Linked DNA regions of Caenorhabditis elegans. The protein of the gene in region 1 purifies or fractionates together with the protein of each later gene. This does not show direct contact. Each region holds a gene or a part of one and is shown on either strand. Other genes may lie near its edges.

Region 1 (4,995 bases):
TTCGGTTGGAGAAGGATAGATCTTCGGATCCGGCGGAATCTAAAATATCATATTTATTCTAAGCAATAACGAGAACCGATCTCACCTCAAGCTGTTCGAGTCGCTTAATACACGCATCGTGAGCAGTTTTGTGTTCCGAGGTGACAGGAAGAGTCGGAACCGGAACCGGTGGGACTGGTGGTGGTGGATGAAGTCCTGGCGGAGCGGTGACCGGTGGAAAACCAACTGGTGGCACTGGTGGCATTGTTACCGGTGGAACCGGTGTAGCAGGCATTGTGAATGTTGTTAGTGAATACTACCTGAAATCGGAGAACGATTGCATTATGAACAATATCTTAAAATTTACGAATAACGTGTTGGAAAAAAATTGAATAAGTTTATGCAACTTTTCGGGATACATGCATTCTCTAAATCTTATAACTTATAACTTGAAAAAAGAACTATTGAAACACGTTTTTGTTAGATACTTGAAAAATATGAAGATTTCAACAAGAAATACTGAAAAATCGTGCACGGAAATGAATATTTTGGGACAGTAGGTAACATTTTTTGAAGTAGTGCGAATAGCTACCGTATACCTTAGACAGCGTTGCGAGACCCACTCAGATGAAAACTCGATGCGCCTTTAATTTCAAATTGAACGACCTTTGAAAAAAAAACATGTTGAACAAATTTTTAAATAAGTTTTATTATGGGAGACATTTTGAAAGCAAAACAAAACAAAAACAAAATAACTTTACAACTATCCTAGGCTAAACGAAATAAAATTATTGTGGGCGAAGACGAATGAATCCTTGAATAATTCGAACTTGCTCTTGATTCACATTACATTTCTCGAAAATGCGATTGGCGAGAGGCTCAAGTTTTGCACGGTTGGCGGTCAACGACATAATTTGCAGGCAAGTCGCTGCAGCATATGTATCACGTTTTCTAAGAGCATCTTCGAACAATTCTGCCATTGCCCATGGCCTAGCATGTCCACGTGGATAAACAGTCGCTTCGTCCCCACTGCTTGCAGTTTCATCAAGCAGTAGATCTAACAGTTCGTAAGCTTTCTGCTGTTCTCCGATTCTGGTCAAGAGCAAAGCACATTCTGAGATCTGCAAAATTTGAGAAATATACGACTTATGGTTTGAAAAATAATATTAAAACCTGGCTAGGCGACAGTTTCCTTTGGAGCCTTCTCATTCTCTCTTCTGTGAATTGGCTGAACTCAACCCAAACTGCAACCAATTTTTGGACAAGAGATGTGAATTGCTCCCGTTCACTAGTTCCCAATGTCTGAAAAAAACTTGTAAAAAACACAAGATATTTGGAAATAAAACTTACATGTAGTTGTACATTACACAACTGTTTGCGCATTTCTTCTCCAATAACTCCATTCATCTGTCCAGCTGCAATACCGTCGATGATTACTCTCCGTAACAGTGGCCAATGACGATCGGAGGATGCAGCGAGTTTTCGAAAAACTAGTGATGACAGATAATTGTTGACTCCAACAAGTCGTGGTACCATGGTGGTGTACAAATCATAAATTCTGTTCAGTGAAGCACTTTGTTCCACAGCCAATTGTAATTGTCTATTATAGAACATTGATTCAATTGTGAATGCTGGCATCTTTACTTCGTTTGCTTTGGATTCATAAATTGAAACAAGATTTTCTGCGAGGTTCTCATTTGCAGCTCTGTAATGGATTCCCATTGCTTCGACGAAGAAAAGATTACAAGTGGATGTAATCGGCTTGAGAGTTTTTCCAGTAAGGCTATTCTGAATTTCATTGAGCCAAGATATAGCCACGGTGAGCTGGTGATTATAGGTCTTCTTTTGCTCGTCACTCTCTCGTTTTTCATTATCCAATAATTTAAAATCTATGATGTTTTTGATAATTAAATGAAAAGATGACAGTGCTGGTTCAACTCCAATCTCTTTCATTTCTCCAATAATTTCAGTGAACGCCTTCACACGATCTTCAAACTTTCCAGCTTTTGCAGCAGACGACAGTAATGCATTGAACGTGAAAATATCGGGTGTCATTCTGAGGGAAATCATTTCAGCTACCAATTTCTTCCCGACACTGTAGCTTGAAGCGCCAATTAATCCATTGAACGCTTCTCGGTAAACTTTTCCTTTTGCAGCTCGATGCTCCTTGTACAATTCTCTAGCTCTTTCCAAACTAGAATGATCAGAAAACTTGCATAGACCAGCAATCATTATAGAAACGGTTTCATCAGTTTTTGGGAGAGTTTCGAAAAGAAGATCAGCGACTGCACCCGATTTCCATGAGGATGTAGAATCTTCTCCAAAATTGCGCATTCCAACAAACTCCTCCCATTCTGCGAAAGGTACGTTTGACGAATTGTAATAGGTTACAAGACGGAATAGTTCCAGCTGGACTTTCTCGCTAACGTCAACGTTCTCTGATCGCATGCGTTCATACAAAATACACGAGTCTTTTACTTCTCGACTTGAAATCATTTTAAGCAGGTTATTCTCTGTCGGTTCAACTTGAAGGGGATCTGCTAGATGTCGAGGACGGAAAACCGGGAGCTGAGGTTGATCTCTGTCAAAAGCGAAGAGGGTTGGCCATTCTGTAGCTAGTTCTCGTGCAGCTCTTTTGCCAAACTCCTAAAATTATCAAACTTATTCTAATATTCCGGCAAAAATTTTACCTTCGCCATAAAATAGGTCTTTTTCGTTGACTGCGTGGAAGGAATGGTAATTGGATCGTCAATGTAGGCAAAATGTGGAGCAGTTGTGTCCGGGCCAACGGTTTCTGACAAGGCATTTAACAAATCTGTTGGAGATCTCTGGAAATATAGAAGTTCAAGTATGAATTTTTAAAAATAGTCAACCTCGATTGCTGGCTGTATTGTCAATTTTTGAGATAATGCAGGCTCAACCGACGATAAACTGCGAGTTATAACTCTGCCAAGTCCCATGCGGCCGATCATTGCCTAAAAAATATTAAGTTAAGCAAAGAAAGATGAAAAACACTCAAAACGTAAAAAGCCTAAGTAAGAACCAAAAAAAAAAATCGGGTGTTAAAATGTTTTGTCCGCAGTATTGCGCGCCGTGTTTGCACCATGGCCTAGAAACACAATGGCCGTGGCCTAAAAATCTCAACGCGGTAAATTCAAACAGAGATCCTAATTTTTTTTCCTAAATATTTATTTTTAACGTTTTAAATTACCCTTATTGAAATGATTCATTTTTTATTTTAGATTCAATGTCGAATATCAACGAAAAAGATTTATCGGAGTTTCTTGAGTCAAATCTCCGGTCTCTCAACGATATTGACGATGCCGTTGCAACTTCTTCAGCAGAATGCAATTATGAAGATTATGAAGAATTCACAAATTCTGTTGACCTGACTTTTTTCGAGCAAGATCTGAGTGGAGTTCTGAAAGAGCGTATGTTGAGAATTTTGTTAGCTTCACTATTCAAAATTGTTATTTTCAGTAAAGAAACTTGCCGAAAGCGTTGTAATCTCGGGAAAGAAATGCGATATTCGGAATATTTTTGAAGAAAGTGATGTGGCGACAATGAAGTTTAATCTATTCGTCTGGTATTTTCTCGAAAACGGACAGAGATCTGACAGTTCGGAAGAGGATGTTGATAAAGGAGTTTCTGCTGCCAGTAGTTATATTGCTATGTGCTCATTGCCTGGAGCAATCTCAGATCTTTATCAAATTGGTTTATACAATGTAAGTATACGGGTTTATTACATGTCATATAATCAATGTTATTTTTTCAGCAATGTCTGAAAATTATTCGAAACTGTTGTCATACAGTTAGGATAGGAGAGACTGTCGTTACAAAAAAATCAAGTGGAGCAAAGAAAAAGAAAGCGGGTGGAAAGTCAGACGAAACAAATGTGGATGGAGAAATGACTGTAACAACGGGAGCAGCAGATCCTATAATTGGTCCCCCTCGAATTGCTGTCGATTCGGCTGAGCGATACCTGCATCATCTCACAACCCAGTTATTTGCTTTTCTGCATAGCAACACCTTCAGTATTGATACACCAACACTCATGAGCACACTAGAAGTCGTGGAAGACATCGGCCGTTTAGATCTTGACAATCGAACCGCAGGAAGAGCGATTCGAGCGAATTCAGTCCACGAGTTCCGATCGTTGGAGCGATTTACGGATCGATACTGTGCATTTGTGCATTCTTTAGTAGAAAGCAAGTATAAAACAAGAGCAGAAGTGGTGGGATTAAAATTAAAAAAATTACAAAACAAATTAATAAGGTTAGTACAAATTTAGGCTTACGGAAGACTTATTCGCCCTCGCCTTGCGCTGATGCCATATCCAGATGAAAGCAATAAATCTTCAAAGATTTCAACGGAGAGAAAGAGATCTGGTGAATTACATGTCAATTTAATTCTATCACGAATTTCAAGAAATCCCGAAGCAAGAGAGTTGAAGTATATTCAGACAGTGAGCAGTTTCTTCGAAATATTTTATTAACTTATTTTTAAATTTTAGGTTACTGTGATGGTGTATTCACAATGTCCAGATCTAGCCGAGTTTCGAACAAATATCGCCACGTTTATCCACAAGATTCTCGAAGCTCTTCCATACACATATACCTATGATTTTGTCCAGTTCATGAATGTCTTGTTCAAAGGCCGCGGAGCCGGAGTAAAATCCTTGTCTACAGAGCTCTCGAGTATTCTCATCAGCAGTTTTGACTTCACCGCACCTGACCCAGGAGCTATTCCAAACTTGGACGCAGAGCAGAATGAAGAAGAGGATGAGGAGGAGGAAGGGGAAGATGAAGAAGAGGAGGAAGAAAACGAGCAGGATGATGTTGCAGTCAAAGAGGAAGAACAGTCGGATAAATCAGACGAAGAGAATGATGGCGATAACGAGGAGAATGTTTCTAAAAAGAAAGAAGAGAAGAAGAAAGAAAAGAAGGCGAAGGAAGTTAAAGAAGTTGGTCGAATGGATGCAATGTCTGTTCTGTATAACATCGTTTACATGGCTTG
Region 2 (5,010 bases), on another chromosome or scaffold:
GAAATTGCTGGTCATCGGGTGTCGTCGTATGCCTGCACACATAAAGCACACATGTCGGGAAGGCGCCTAGATGACGACCGACATCTTCCAGATGACCTCCAATTACTAGTGATGGCTCACAGTTTGAGCACAGAAAGATGGAAGCTAAATGCTCGATAGATATCCGGATGGCGGTTTTTGGACGATTTTATTGACATTTGGAATTTATTTTATGATTGCCAGATCTAGAGAGGAGCTTGGAGGGTAAAAAACTATGAAGAGATTTTTTTATTTAAAGGTGTAGCAATCTGTCAAAGAAAAATTTCAACGCAAAATTTTCCAAAATTTACACTTTTGTTTTGAAAGGTTGGCACTTTTCCAAAATTTTGACTAAAAATGCTTAGAAGCTCAAACTATTTCAGAGTGTTGGCAGTGTTGTAGACTCAAACAAAAGTGTTTCAAAATGTATAGAATAATTTTTCGAATTTAAAAATTTGGTTGAAATGGCTGGAATTTGAAATTTTAGAGCTGTATCTTACAAAAAAAAGTCTCTGGAACTTTAAAAATTTAACTCGATTTGAAAATCTACCTCACTATGTATTATTGAGTCAGAAAACGGTTATATTTCCAAAAATAGATCAGAAGCAATGTTTTAGAAAAAATCACCTATTCTAAAGCTCAAAGCTTTAAAAAAATAAGGTCATGCTGAAACAAAAGCATTCCGCTCAAATGAGCACCACCGATATAAATGCTCATCAGGGAAAAATAGAAACTATGAAAAGTTATATTAAAAATACTTCAACTAGCAGGCCTAAAATCTAGAATAAAATTCGCTCACCGAATCAAACATAAATCAGTGAATCACACCTATTCTCATCAATTTCTCTCTGTTTCGCCCTTCCCACTCTATGTCATAAAAATGAAAATCACGAAGAGAACAAGTGACCGAATAAAAGTGACCAAGAGGCGCAGATATCAAGCCACATGCTCAAACAAATGCAAATGTGATCGCAACAAGAAGAGGAGGAGGAATGGACAACCTATTTTAATGCAAATTTGAACAGTTTTTGGCTGGGGCGCCTATTTTAAATTTAGTTAGGATGAGTTGACCCCTCTCGAAGTGCGAAATTTCAATGAATAACTGAACAAGTTAGGCATTCCAGTTTTTCAACAATTGAATTTGGATCATTATGTATTTCTAAAACAACTTAAACTTTTAAAATGCATTAACTGAAAAAATTTTGATTGTGTGTGAGCATATATTTTCAGACATTTTTTGGCACCGTAATTTCTGGTTTAAAATTATATAAAAAATTTTTAAAACATCCCTCCCTCAAAAAATCCCCATCCCAAACTAACCTTTAACATAAAGATTTGCGGCTTTCGAGTGAGCAACTCCTAATGTATTCCTTGCAATGCATTCGTATTTTCCCTGATCTTCTTCTCGAGCATGCTGAATCATCAGGGCTCCAGGGTTTCCGATTGTACTTACAGAGTATCTACCATCTGCACGAATGTCTAGCGGGATCAGGTCACGGAGCCAAAGGACTTTTGCTCGAGGATCTCCTCGGACCTGAAAGAATTTTTTTGAATTTGATTTTGGAATCGTTAACATTTTTAAAGTTTTTTAAAAAAATATTTTTTTATTTGTTTTTTTTAATTTGAAAACAGCCGACATAGTTTTTAGTATTTGGTTTCAGGTATATAGGGTAATTCCAGATGTGCTATGATATTTTGGTGTTGGTAACTTTTGGTATTTGTGCTATTTTTGCTATTTTAATCCCATTTTAACTCCATATTGAATTGTTCTTCTTTCAATTGTTAATTTCTTCAAGTTCATTTTTATTTCCGAAATATCATATTTTTAAAAGTTTTTAGCATTATTATTTGTTGATAAAATTTTAAAATCTTTTCATAATACATACAACGAATTTCCCATCTTAAACGCAACTATTTTAAAATTTCAAAAAACTTACCCGACAAGAGACATAAGCAGTTTTCCCCTGTTCGACCGACTTCAATGATGGATGAAGTTCAATTTGAGGGAACCCAATCGGAACTTTGTCTCGTGGGACAACGGTTAGTGATGCTTCTGCGACAACTGGATTGGCAACTCCATTATCAGCCGAGCAGGACACAACAGTCGCATTGTCATCCAGAGAGACACGTTCGAAACGGAGAGTCGATAAGCCGGTGGCCAAGGATTTTATTGATATTCTGGAAAATTTGTAACAGTTATATATTTCAATGAAGCCTTAATACCGATTATGATCTGTTATGGATTTTCCATTGACTCTCCAAATCACACTAGGCAACGGATTTCCATCTGCTCGACAGAAAAATGAGATTTTCGATTCATCGACGACGGTTGATGAGTCTGGACGGACGACTAGTCGGGCGGGGTCTGAAGATTATAAAAATAGAAACTGTAAATATAGTTCACTTGAATTCTTGCCAACAATACAACTTAGAATTGAATCCTCCGCATAAAACTGCGCTTAAATTTGAAACTGAGCTGGAATCTTAGGGAGTATTACAGCTTTATCCGGGCCTATGTGGTTGCAAAAAAAATGAATCTGAATTATTTTCCTGATTTTTTCCTGATTTTACAAGTGTCTAGGGGTAGTAAAGCTTTTTGAAACATTTTTTTAATAAAAAATGTTTTCCAATTTTTTTCTGAAAAAAAATTCCAAAGGTTTTTCTGTTTTCTCGAAAAACCATTATTTTTCAACCAAACCTGCACTATAACTTACACGCAAGAGCTTGAATATAACTCTGATAAGCTTCAGCATAAAGCTGATTATTTGTAAACTCTTCCTTCCGAACCAACGGAATTCCCCCGTCCTGCACATCCTGATTATCAGGTGGCTCTTCATCATTCCACCCGAAATCCTCATCCTCTTCCCCCAACTTACCGTCCTCTTTTGCCGCGACCAGTACGGTACTTAGCATTAGAAACAGAAGCAGCGACGAGCCTTTTCGGCGTGCCACATTTCGTAAGTGACGCGCTATCCGATTCATACTGTTGTTCTTGTTTCTGAATTGGATCATGATGTTTTTCTGATTAGAGAGATACACCCATTTTTGTTGGAAAATTTTTTAAAGTTTTTTCTTGAATTAAATTAATTTTATTTAATTTTTAATTTTTATTCGCGCTGCTTTCTGATCACAGAAGACTTTGTTGGGTATGAGGATTTAGAGGTGAGGATCTGAAATTTTAAATGAAAATTGTTAAGGGAACAGAAAGAAAAGAGCAGAAGTGACATCAACTACATAATCAAAGTTCAGGAAGCACAAGAGCATGAAACAAAAAGATATGAAAGGCCGATTAAAAAGCCACCACAAAAATTTTCCAAGCGACCTGGAAAGCCGCGCAAATGGGTTGAAGAACAAGAGGAAGAGAGAGAAAAGAAAAAAGTGGTGTGGAGAAGAAGGGGTCCCAGGGATTTATTTGGGAAATGGAAAATGTTGCTTTTATTAATGACCATTGCGCAAGGGCAGGTGAGGGGGTCATTTGGAAGGAGCTGGGGGCTTGGCGCGGGGGCGAGAGATTTGGAGAAAGGAGATGATAAATCTAATTGAGAAATCAAGGGAACACAATTATGAAATAGAGGGGTTTACAAAAATTTTTTCTTTATTCGGAAATAGCTCAGACTTTTATCATTTTGCATAACCTTTTCACAACCATTTTCATGTATATTTTTAGATTTTAAAAATTCAGACAATATATAGCAAGTTGGAGAAGCCTAGTTGAATTGGGATTTTTTCAATTTAATTCCTTATCATAGTTCATGGCCAAAATGTCATATTTTAACACAATTTTTTTTGGTTTTTTTTTTTTGAATTAAGAAAAGTAATACTACGATATTAGTTATTTTAGCACCATATAAATCAAAGTTCAAATTCGAAGTTCTAAAAATGCAAACAAAAAATTTTTTGAATATGTGAATTCTAAGACATTTTTGTAAGCGCTTTGTTTCAAGTCCCGTTAAAATCACCCCTGCCACATTCGCTTCTCTCAAAGCTTAAACTTTGAACAACTCTGCAAGAAAATAGAGAGTGTATAGAAGAAGAAGAGACGCAGAGCAAAAACATGCAAATGGCGGGACAAGACTAATCGAGGAATAAGGGGAGCAAAATGAAACAATTTTACTTCTATTACTATTACTCTTCTAGATGACCCCCATGTAATGAATGAATTCACACCAAGAGGTTGGAGTTGGAAAACTTTGATAGTTTATTTTGAGAAAAGGGGGAGAACTTTCTGTAGAGCAGGTGTTAAATTATAGTTTAATTAGTTTTCAGTGAACAGGTAATGTTCACAATGAGTCAACAGATTAAGGGGGTTTTGATACATCAAAATATGTTTTTAGAGATCAAAATGAGATTTTTTTTTTGAGAAAAATTAGACAAACCAATTTGTGAGTTAGTTCTTGAACATCAGCCGGATTCTGTAAAAGGTTCGGAAAATTTCAACTCAAATTCATCTTGCCACAATCTAGATTCTCTCAAGATCAAGCTCAAGCGTAATTGAGTACAAAATCTATTTTATAGAAAGCTGCATAGAAAGCTGCATTGTATTGGATAATCGAAGTCATTTTGTACTGTAAAATTAGGTTCAATCTGGGCAAACTTTAGCAACACTTGAAAAAAATGGGAAACCTTGACACCTTGAAAACTGGTCTTTAATAAAATGGAAATAATAAGTACCTTAAATACTGATGAGTTCAAGCTAATATCTGAGTTCTGTCGAGTTTTAAGGTTAAAATAACTTTTGAGCACCGTCCGGGCAATTTCAGAGGAGGGCAGCGGCACCGTCACGCCCGAACGGAATGGAATTTCTAGTCAGGGCTAAGTTTGGCAAAATACAGTAATATCTATCTAATTTTATGAAAGTCTTAGAGTTCAAGAAGAGCATAAAGCGGAAATAAAAGTGATGTTGTCTGCAAAATCTCGGGTGTGCACTTTTCCTCCACCGCCTCCACCATTTAGTGATGTGAATGACAGGAAGGAATGTGTGTAGTGAAAGAC

What was found.
Region 2: the proteins of let-630 (region 1) and ptp-3 fractionate together in Caenorhabditis elegans (co-fractionation; one large-scale study listed by BioGRID). This does not show direct contact.

What each region holds. Positions count from the first base shown.
Region 1 is NC_003279.8:5,161,931-5,166,925, forward strand, and holds let-630 (Small ribosomal subunit protein mS39), read right to left. Parts: upstream 2,955-4,995; 5' UTR 2,952-2,954; coding exon 2,853-2,951; intron 2,808-2,852; coding exon 2,670-2,807; intron 2,626-2,669; coding exon 1,330-2,625; intron 1,282-1,329; coding exon 1,153-1,281; intron 1,101-1,152; coding exon 768-1,100; 3' UTR 672-767; downstream 1-671. Other genes in the region: ppw-2 (Piwi domain-containing protein), read right to left, coding at 1-39, 86-274; Condensin-2 complex subunit hcp-6, read left to right, coding at 3,227-3,410, 3,460-3,704, 3,755-4,213, 4,271-4,444, 4,493-4,995.
Region 2 is NC_003280.10:10,973,559-10,978,568, reverse strand, and holds the start of ptp-3 (protein-tyrosine-phosphatase), read right to left. Parts: upstream 3,001-5,010; coding exon 2,733-3,000; intron 2,384-2,732; coding exon 2,242-2,383; intron 2,197-2,241; coding exon 1,956-2,196; intron 1,553-1,955; coding exon 1,339-1,552; intron 1,192-1,338; exon of another isoform or gene 1,042-1,191; intron 112-1,041; exon of another isoform or gene 1-111. UniProt on the Caenorhabditis elegans protein: Has a role in early neural and epidermal development; neuroblast movements during closure of the gastrulation cleft and epidermal morphogenesis. Vab-1 and ptp-3 may function redundantly within the same sets of neuronal precursors.